Caenorhabditis elegans: one gene and its partner. The protein of the gene in region 1 purifies or fractionates together with the protein of each later gene. This does not show direct contact. Each region holds a gene or a part of one and is shown on either strand. Other genes may lie near its edges.

What was found. Proteins that work in one complex are often made in the same cells at the same time.
Region 2: the proteins of idhb-1 (region 1) and oig-2 fractionate together in Caenorhabditis elegans (co-fractionation; one large-scale study listed by BioGRID). This does not show direct contact.

The regions. Positions count from the first base shown.
Region 1 is NC_003284.9:14,169,865-14,175,322, forward strand, and holds idhb-1 (putative isocitrate dehydrogenase [NAD] subunit beta, mitochondrial), read right to left. Parts: upstream 3,526-5,458; 5' UTR 3,525-3,525; coding exon 3,299-3,524; intron 3,233-3,298; coding exon 3,033-3,232; intron 2,879-3,032; coding exon 2,678-2,878; intron 2,547-2,677; coding exon 2,335-2,546; intron 2,237-2,334; coding exon 1,991-2,236; intron 1,654-1,990; coding exon 1,599-1,653; 3' UTR 1,000-1,598; downstream 1-999.
Region 2 is NC_003280.10:13,005,695-13,010,425, reverse strand, and holds oig-2 (Ig-like domain-containing protein), read left to right. Parts: upstream 1-2,261; 5' UTR 2,262-2,262; coding exon 2,263-2,372; intron 2,373-2,416; coding exon 2,417-2,507; intron 2,508-3,641; coding exon 3,642-3,767; 3' UTR 3,768-3,813; downstream 3,814-4,731.

The sequences.
Region 1 (5,458 bases):
TACACACATGGACCGGTGTGCCGGGAGAAGGGAGTGCGATAGAGCGTAATTGCAACTGTGCATATGTCGATTTGCAAGAGAGATGAGTCAATCCGAAGCATGACTTTTATTGCTTAAATAAGGTGAAAATTAGATATAATTTGTTAAAATTATCTCTTTGAACTTATTTCGATCAGCGTTTTCCTGAACATATATAAATGAAGCTTACTGCTTTAAAAAAACATTAAAATTGAACAAAAATCTATTAACGTTCATGGTGTGGACCATAAAAGTTATAAACAAAAGGTTCGTAACTGAGGAAATGATTCTAATCTTCTGACAACTCAATTTTAAAAAGAAAATCATTGAACCTTTTGAAAATTAACTAGAACTAGAACTAGAATCAAAAAAAACCATGCGATAATATTTGCATTTAATGAAAATGTTTAATGCCAAGTAAGCAGAGCTTATACATTTAGCTGGAAAAAACAACAATTTATATCTATATACGTAGATATATACCAATATGGTAATAAAAAGTTTTGTGGTACAACTATCACACAAGTACCGAGTTATCAGATACGTAGATGCTTAATGAAAAAATACAACTAACGGAAAAATGTTTCTGAACTGTTAAGCATCGTGTTTATTTGCATTAAGCTCAATACATACTACAGTAATACATTTTGTTTTGAAAATCACCAATATTTAGGAAAATAGGATTTCATAAGCTCAATTTAGTATTAAAAAAAACTTACTTTTTCATTTCATAAACTTTCCGTTATCCTTTAAGATTTGATTTTTTGTTTTAATTTCAGAAAACAGTAATCCATAACGTCTCATCATGAAAAATATTGATTACTTTAATCTTTTAAAGTAAAATCCGCAAATTTTTGGTTCATCGGAAATTTTTTATTGTTCACATTTTTTTAAATTCAAAATGTTTTGTGAAAATATAGTCGTTCGACATTAAAACTTTTTCTGAAATTCCAGACAAATAAGTAAATTACACATCTGTATATATTCGTCATTTTATCTACTTAAATGATCGTTCAAGATGTACATAAAGCCGACAAGATTTTCTCAGAAAAAAACCATTAAAAAGTTTAAAAGAAGAAAATGACTCATTCCACACAAACATTCGCCTTTGAATTGATCCACTTTCCATGTTTGCATAAAATTGAAAAAAAAATGTAAACGAGAAATGGCGGGTGGGTGGTCTGCCGTAGAAAGTCAGCAATCGCAAAAAAGGAAGAAAAAAAATCGATGGATGGTAAAATTAGATAAGACGATTTGAGGGATGGATGGTGAAAAACGAGACATGGAAAGGTTGGAAGACCAAAACTGGCCACGTGGTAGATATTGGGTTCGTGATTTGTTGAATACATGAAAAAAAACGAGTACGCTTTGTCGATATAAAAAGATTTTCGAAACATATAAATTGATTCGTAGCAAAAAATATACACAAAAAGGCACTAACACTTACAAGTTCTGGTGGGGATTGAAAATAAAAACAAAAAGAAACGGTAGATGAAAAACAAAAACACTAGATATCTACTAGAGAAGAATGAGAATTTATTTTAAAAAAATTATAGGACGCAGTAGTAGATTATGACATTTTAGATACGGAACTTGTCAATGACGGCATCAGCAAAATCGACAGTGGTGGCGTATCTGAAATTGGGATTTATTTATTGGTTTCTTCAAATTGCTGGCAGTAAAAATGGGCGAAAGTTTTTAAAAATAATACATTTAGAATAAACTTTATACTTATCAAATATGTACTTTTGTCAACTGTCGATTATCATACTTGAAAACAAATTAAAACAAATTTTGAAACAAATTTGAAACAATTTACAAATATTAGTATTGCCACCGGGGCTGTGTTGCCTGTTGCCGAAAAATTGCCGAAATTTCGGCAACCGATAGTTGCGGGTTGCCAAAAATTGTAGCATTCGGCAACTTTGGCAATTGCCGGTTGCCGCACATCCCTGCTTCCCACAAAACTCACCCTCCCAAATCACGGGTGCGAACTTTTCCCTCCTTAACAACATCAGCGACGGCTTGACGAAGTGAATTTCCCCAAGCATCAAGATGCAAGTGATTGAGCATGTTGGCAGCGCAGAGAATCATGGCAGTTGGGTTGGCGATAGAGCGTCCCATGGCCTCTTGGAAAGAGTGACGACTTCCTGGCTCGAAGATGACAAAGTCACGTCCCACAGATTGTCCTGGCACGACTCCGGCTCCTCCGACCAGTCTGGAATTATAAATTATGAATTTTTTATTTTGAAAATTTGAGATTGTTATTATAATTCTATGACTGATTCATAAGGTTTTGTTTTATTTTTTACTGACCCAGCAGCCAAGTTATCAATGATGTTTCCGTAGAGATTTGGCATGACCATCACGTCGAATTGCTCGGGCTTGGACACCAACTGCATGCAAGTGTTGTCAATAATCATGCTCTCAAACTGGATCTTCGGGTACTGCTTGGCAACTCCTTCACAGGTTCTCAAGAACAAACCGTCTCCGAGCTTCATAATGTTGGCCTTGTGCACGGCGGTGACCTGAAACAAAATCCGAGGTTCTTTCTAATTGCTTTGGTTGCTACAGGGCTTTCTGGTAAACTGAAATTAAGAAACTAAGAGTGAAACTCTGCTTTTCCAATTTTTCAGAAATCATTTTGAAAATATTGTACCTTCTTTCTTCCAGTCTTGGTAGCGTAGTCAAAGGCAAACTTGGCAATGCGCTCGGCTTTGGTTCTGGTAGAAATCTTGAGACATTCAATGACTCCTGGAACGAGCTCGTGCTCCAAGCTGGAGTACTCTCCCTCGGTTTGCTCTCTCACAATCACAAAGTCCAGCTGCTTGCCGTGTCTTGTCTTGATTCCATCAAGGGTCTGAAACAGAACGGTTTTAAGCGAAGTGAGAATATTTAATCTGAAAACATGCTGAAAGTCGGGCTATTTCTTGTACCATAAGTTCCAGAAGCACAACGCACATTTGCTTTTCGTTTATGTTTCTTTTATAGCAATGTATTATTTTAATCCTCACCTTAATGTGAACAACATTGGCGAACAAGTCAAGCGAGCGTCTGAGCCTCATGTTCAGACCCTGAAGTTCTCCTTCCGTGTGCAAAACGGCCGACTCCTCGATGGCGCCTTTGAGAGCAACGTTGTTGTTGCGTCCGATGGACTCAACAGCATTCTCGATGGAAGAGGAGCGGGTGTAGTGGACTTCGGAGAGGAAGATTTCTGAAAATCAAAACTTATATTTTCAAAAAAATTGTCAAATGTATTCAATTTCTCCACGAAACCTACCCTCGAACTCGATTGGAATTCCAGTTTGCTTGACAATATCCTGGACTGTGTAGATCAACTCTGGTCCGACTCCATCTCCCGGGATGATTGTCACTTTCAGTTTTTGGTTGAGCTCGGTTGGTGGACGTGGAGCAGTAATGGAATACTGACGGCTGGAGGCTGCATTCACCGCTCCGAGGGTTTGCGGAGCCACACGGCTCAACGAGGAAACCGTACGAGAGAGCATGCTGAAAACATTGGAGTTTGATTGAAATTATGGTTTCAAAAAAGTGGAAAAAGGAGAAAAATCATTTTACACTACTTGGAGATTTTCAATATTTGACTCAAACAAGTAATTTCCAAAGAGTTGCATTCTAGTTTTCTTTTACAATCAAAGATCTAAATCGATAAAAGCCTTGCTGTGCCATGCCATCAGAGAGCGAGAGTGCAGCGAGGGGGAAAAAGGACAGTTGTTACTTTTGGGTGGATAATACCTATTTAGTTTCCAAGAATTATTCGAGCGAAAAATTTTTAAAAAACTGCAGTTAAACTTCAACCATTAAGTAAAATTACTTGACTACTGCGCGTAAACCTTTGTTTTGTGAGCGGAAATTTCAAAAAAACACAGTGTAAAAGGTAGCAGCTTTCTGGTGAATTATAGTGCTAGAAAATCGAATGGCCAGCTGTGAAATTTTATTTCTATGAATGAAAAAAAAACACAGTTTCCAAAAACAACTTCTCAACAGCTGTGAAAACTGCATAAAACTCTTTTTTCATTACATATTTTACAAAATCCACAAAAACGAAGTGAAAATCTAGAACGCTCAAGTTGATGAATGAGAATAAATAAACAAATGAGGCTCACCTGATGTGCGCCAAGAACAACGGGCGAGGTGCACGAAGAGCGTGTCAGCAGCGATCTGGCGTGTTTATCGATTTTGCCTTGCCGGCGGCCATCGCCAGTGGCAGTTGTTTCGGTGGTCTTGGGAGAAAAAAAAGAAAGAGGGGCCTGTCAGGTTTTGTGTTGTTTGGGTGGATTTTTGTGGATTTCAAAATTGTTTCTCAATATTTAACATTTTTTGGAGTATGAAGAATGACAGAATAATTGTTATTTGTAATTTTTGTAAAATTTTAGCTGGCAAAAAGTTTTAAAAAACTCACAAAACATTTTCGAGACAACTTGGAAGTTCTTTCCAATTTTCATAAAGCAATTTGTGTCGTCATGTTTTCGCCTATTGTAATTGCCAACAATACGATTAAATTACTATGAATTTGTGTATATTATACATAGTACGCCAGATAACCATTTTATTAAGATTCCTTGTTTTAAGTATATTAAGGAATCATAATTCTTAATTAACAATGACGTTGATGTATTTATGAGCCAGTTGCTCATATACTCTCTGAACTGAACTAGACTAGATTTTTTGGAGATTTAATGGTAGTGTACATTCCATTTAGTGTTTGGTGTTTCACACCTTCATCAACTTTTTGTGCATCTAGAGTCAATGAACACTGGCATGATATCATATTGTTTTTGTTATAAAAAAAGCATACACAAAATATGATATTGTTTTTTAAGTTACTTTTTTAAAAGTTTTTGATCATTTTGGTATCATGAGATAAAATAGTTATTTAAAACTGAAACTTTTCTTCAATTCAAATTCAATTCCCATCCTCTGTTTTCTGATAAAGTCGCCTCTTTGATTGATGAAGAAAACTTTCCTCTTGCCGTATAAGGAAAAAACAAGGAAAGGTTTTTAACGATTCTGCAAGTTGCTGGCTCATTTTCAGTTTATTTTCTCGCTTTGTTTTTAGCTGATGGTAACAAATATTAAAAGATGTATATAAAGATTGAATAGCGTTGAAAAATCACTTATATTGGCTTACGCTAGAACGACCAAATATCATTAGAATTTTACAATTTTCTGCTTTTTTAAATTTTCAAACATTTCAAACAGTTCAAAGTTTCATCACCGTATTACCCTCGTGCATGATGATTTCTTGAAATATATCTCTTTGCACATGTTTCACGTAATATCTTTTATTAAAAACGTTACATGCCAACATGAAATACTTAATCAAAGAGCTCTTTCAGTAAAATATTAAATCACACTTCTAGTCACTTTTTTGATTGTTTCCCTGATAATAATGCCTACAAACATGCTTGCCGGGGAAATA
Region 2 (4,731 bases), on another chromosome or scaffold:
TTAGGCTTAGGCTTAGGTTCAGGCTCAAACTCAAGCTTGAGCTTATTCTCGAGCATTTGAAACATTGTTCGTGTCGAAACCAGGTTCCGTGTTGCTTCTGAAACTTTGATGTTCAAAAAATTCTGAAAAATATAAAAGTTGCAAAAATATTACATTCAATTTGTAAAAAAATTAATTTCTGAAATTTCAAAAAAAAAAGAACTGAAAGTTTATGTTTCTGGAAATTTCAAAATTTTTAATCCAAAATTTTTAGAATTTCAGAACTATTTCTTGAATGTTGTTTTTTTCGGAATTTTCAAATTTCTAGAAAATTTAAATACTTCTGAAACTGTAGTTTTTTGAATTTTCAGAATATAATGAATATCAGAGGTTTTGAATTGTTAGTTGTTTTTAGATACTGAAATAATTTTTGGCGATTTTCGGCTTTCAGAATTTTCAGAATATTTTGATTATTTGAGGTTCTGAATTGTTGGTTTTTTGAAAGATTTTTCCATGAAACTTTTTTGCGATTTTCTGCAAAAATTCCCACGAAAAATCTCAAAACTGGAAGGTATAAATGCGGTGACAAATATTAAAAAAAAACAATTCTCTGATTCCGTACAATTTTGCAAAAATTTCCAGCAAAGCGACAGGTATCTTCTGATCTCATTCACTTCAAGTTAACGTCTATATTCTTTTCAACTCAGCGGGCTCAAGTCCTCTTGTGTCTTTTATAATTACATGTAGCATTAGGTTTCCACAACGACCACGTCTCCGTGCTCTTTTTGAAACACCCATAATTTACATTCCATCAGACAGCTCGATTCTGATTGAAGTTTTCACTTTTTTCGAAATTTATGTATTGCTCCCCCCGGGTTACAAGCATATGTATAGTCGATTTTGAAACGATTTTGTTTCACTGAAAGTTTAAAAAAATGTTTTTTGAAACCTAGAAAAATGTGTTTTTTATTATATTTTCCCCAGAGTTGCATTTCTTTCTAGCAAATTAGAATGCCCAGAGTAGTTCAAAAAAATGTTTTGCCCCTTGTCTTTGTGATATCTTTTTCCGTACCTTCCTCCAAACTTCTCACCACAACCATTATATGGGCGGAGCCTAATAAACCCCTCCTGTTTCACAATTCAAATTTCCAGGTACATCATGTCATCAAAAGAGCTCTATAGACTCAAAACTTTCGACGATCACTATTTCGAAATGTCCACCGAATCAATCGGAGATCCTCTCCCAGATGGCAAGCCAAGTCCAACAGGGAAAAGCTTCCAACTATGTGATACCAGTTCCGAACGTCAAAGGAATTACCATGAAGATGGTTGTCACCTGGTGCATCCGTCATCGAGTCGAAGTTCCGAGCACTTCTACGTGGGAAGTTGACTATGTTAAATCATTGGATCGAGAGGAACTGAAAGATGCGATATGGGCCGCCAAGTATCTTCGAATGCCAATTCTTATTAATATTACTAGTTCTGAACTGTTTTTGCGAGCCGAAAATACACCGGTAGAGAGGTTAGATGAAGTGTATCCGATGCCGCACTGTGTAGGCAGAGCTCCGGAGAGAAGCACCAAAATCACCATTCACAAATTCAAATAAACTTGGATACAATTATTTTTGTTTTCTTTTAGTACTCAGTTCATAAATATATTAAAGTGGGATCCATCTTCGTTTTTTAGTGATTTTACAAAAGTTTTATAGTAGAAAAAAACAGAAAATAAACTGTTGCGTTCAATGCTGAAACATTTTTCAATGTTTGAAATGATAATTTTATTCGAGATTTCCAATGAATAAATAACTTTTCATAGAAGGTAGTTTTGGGAAAAAAAATTGGAAATTTTCGCGTCCAGAAAGTATGGAGTCCTATCAATGACTGAAAATATAAAATACTCTATAAGAATAAGAAATTGATATGTTAATAATCAGAAAAATACAATAATTAAAAAAATTCATAGAATCAAGTGAATTATTAACCAAAACTTTAATTCTATGCCATTTCAATTGCTGTTCATCGCGTGTATCGAATTCATTGACTTGCTTTGAACCAACAAATCAATCAATGCCCTCAACATTTTTCTCAATATTATTAAACATGTTGGCTTCAGAAAAAAGTGCTCTTTCATCTCCCTCCGCCTACTCATCTCTCCATCTCTGCCCCTCAAATCTCTCAGCTTCCGTCACCTGTTACTGACGGAATTGATCAGTGAGAAGCTCTTCGAGCGTTTTCATTACATATGTTCAGCCATCTTATTAGTTCTAAAAGGTTAGTTTCAGAATGGTTTTGGCTCCGTTTTTCGAGAAAGCTCCATCGCTTATCATTGCTCCAGACGGATCAGTTCTGTTCGAATGCATCTGTAATGCGAATCCACAACCAACAGTTAAATGGTAAAAGATTTTGGTTTATGAACCCCTAACCTTAACTACTGTAGGTTTTTGAAAGACAAAGAGCTGACTGGTGATCGTTACGTGTCAAAGATCAAGAAGATGGTTGGCAAGTTCACAGTTACACTGCATATCAAGGTAAGTAAGATTTTTGTAATACTGATAAACTGATCGGGATTCTAGATTAAGAAGAGAATAAGAAGAAAGGAACGGATAGAACACTTGATCTGGTTTTTAGAGGGAAACTTAAATTGTAAGAACATGGTGTAATATTGACCTTCGAAACACTTGCCTCGAGATTTTGTTTCACATTTATTTTAAAGTAAAAAACTTCAGAAACAATTTATTGACCTAGAAAATGTCGGCCATTCTTTTAAAAACCGTTCCTGGAAAGTTTGGGATGGTCTCCGGCAGGAACAAAAATTGAAAATAGGCTATACAATTTCGGAAAGTTTTTTTTTTCATTTATCGGAATCGAACATATATTTAAGGGCTGTGCGGTATTTTTTCGGCAAACCCACAATAATGTTTATTTCAAAATGATAATCCAACTTTTTTCATGCAAAATTAACATAGAAACGTAGAGAAAGGTTTGTTCTATCTGGAAAAAATACAAATTTTTTTGAAAAGTTTGAAAAAAAAGTTCAAATAGTGTCTGAAAGTTGTCGTTTGTCTAAACACTTTTAACGGCACTTTTTTGGCAAACGTCAACTTTCATGCACTATTTTTGATTTTTTAAAATTTTCCAACAAAAATAAATATGCACCATAACTGGCTAGATTCACCGTCGATGCACCATATCAAGTTAGATGCACCGTAACTGGTCAAATGTACCATAACTAGTTAAATGCACCATAACTGGTTAGATTCACCGTAACTGGTCAAATGTACCATAACTTGTCAGATGCACCATAACTGGGTAGATTCACCATCGATCATCAGCATAATTCACATACAATTTTTTTGAAATTCAGCTCAAAAATGAAGCTTGATGATGAAAATTAGGCAATGGGAATATTCATACTTTTTGAAAATAAAATTACTTTATATTAAAAATTTCAAAAAGTTGCTAAAAAATTGCCTCAATGCCGTAACACCCATCGGCATACTCACTTGGCACATTTTAAATCAAATGCCAATTTTGATCACTTTTTCATAATCTTCACTAAAATAACGCTATCTTCTAAAAGTACAAATACTTCTCTATATTTTCATATGAATTTCCAGAAATGAGCATTCTAGATAAGTTAATAACAAAGAAAATGTTTCCAGAACCCTACCCAAGAGGACCAAGGAGTTTACAAAGTGACTGCTACAAACACCCATGGCTCACACTCCGTTGAGCAGCAGTACATCTACAAATGCACTGGAAAAGAGGTTTTCAAGACTCTTGACTAAATTCTGCTAGATTTCTTTAATATTTCTTCCAATAAACTTTTCCGTCGCTATACTGTATCTTAATATCACTCGTAGAAGAAACAACGTGGTTATCATGTGATAAGAAGGTCAGAAATAGAGAGAAAAGATGTCAAAAATACTAGGAATTTTGAGTGTAGAGTTCAGAAAAACAGATTGAACAAAAAACGAAGTATACCCGATCAGGGAGATCGGTTTTTGGAAGGAAATAAAAATGATCACATGTGCAGAATAGTAAAAATGTTGATTGAGAAAATTTTGTTGGCGACATGTTGGAGTCAGATCTGTTCGAGAGTTCAAGTTGATAAGAATTCTAGTTTAAAAGTTTAGACTTTTGGTTTGGACATCTGAACTACAGGCTGATAGTTTAAACTGTAGGTACAGAATAGTATGAAAACCGTACGAGCAAACTTTGATGTCAATTTCCTTTGGTAAACATTCAGAATCAAAGATGGGAATGTTTGAAGACTTTTATGAAGTGTGCCAAATATAAAAGTACAATTTTTCAAAAAAAAAAAAAATTGAAAATTTTAATTTTGCGGCAAAAAGTGGCGCTAATTTTGTCGCCTAAAGTCTGAACAATGGCCAACTTTTCTATTAATTCATTGCATATTATTATTTGAAAGTTTTGAACTTGCGGCATTGCTACAAATTTCATATTAAGCTCAATTCTATGTAGTTGAAAATTTGACAATTTGCCAAAACTTTGTCATTAGGGGGAAAATGTAGAAAACTACTTTTCTGGTGTCAAAATGACCGAATATCATAAAAAACGGTTGGATATTTTTTGAACATTTATTGAATTTTTAAAATTTAATGTCAAAAATTAATCAGTTTTTGCCACTCATAATTTTAGAAGTCGACCAAAAAAAATGTTCTCTACATTTTTTACACTGTAGTTTTGTTTTAATTATTTTTATTAAAATATTGTAGGGGTCGGAAAATG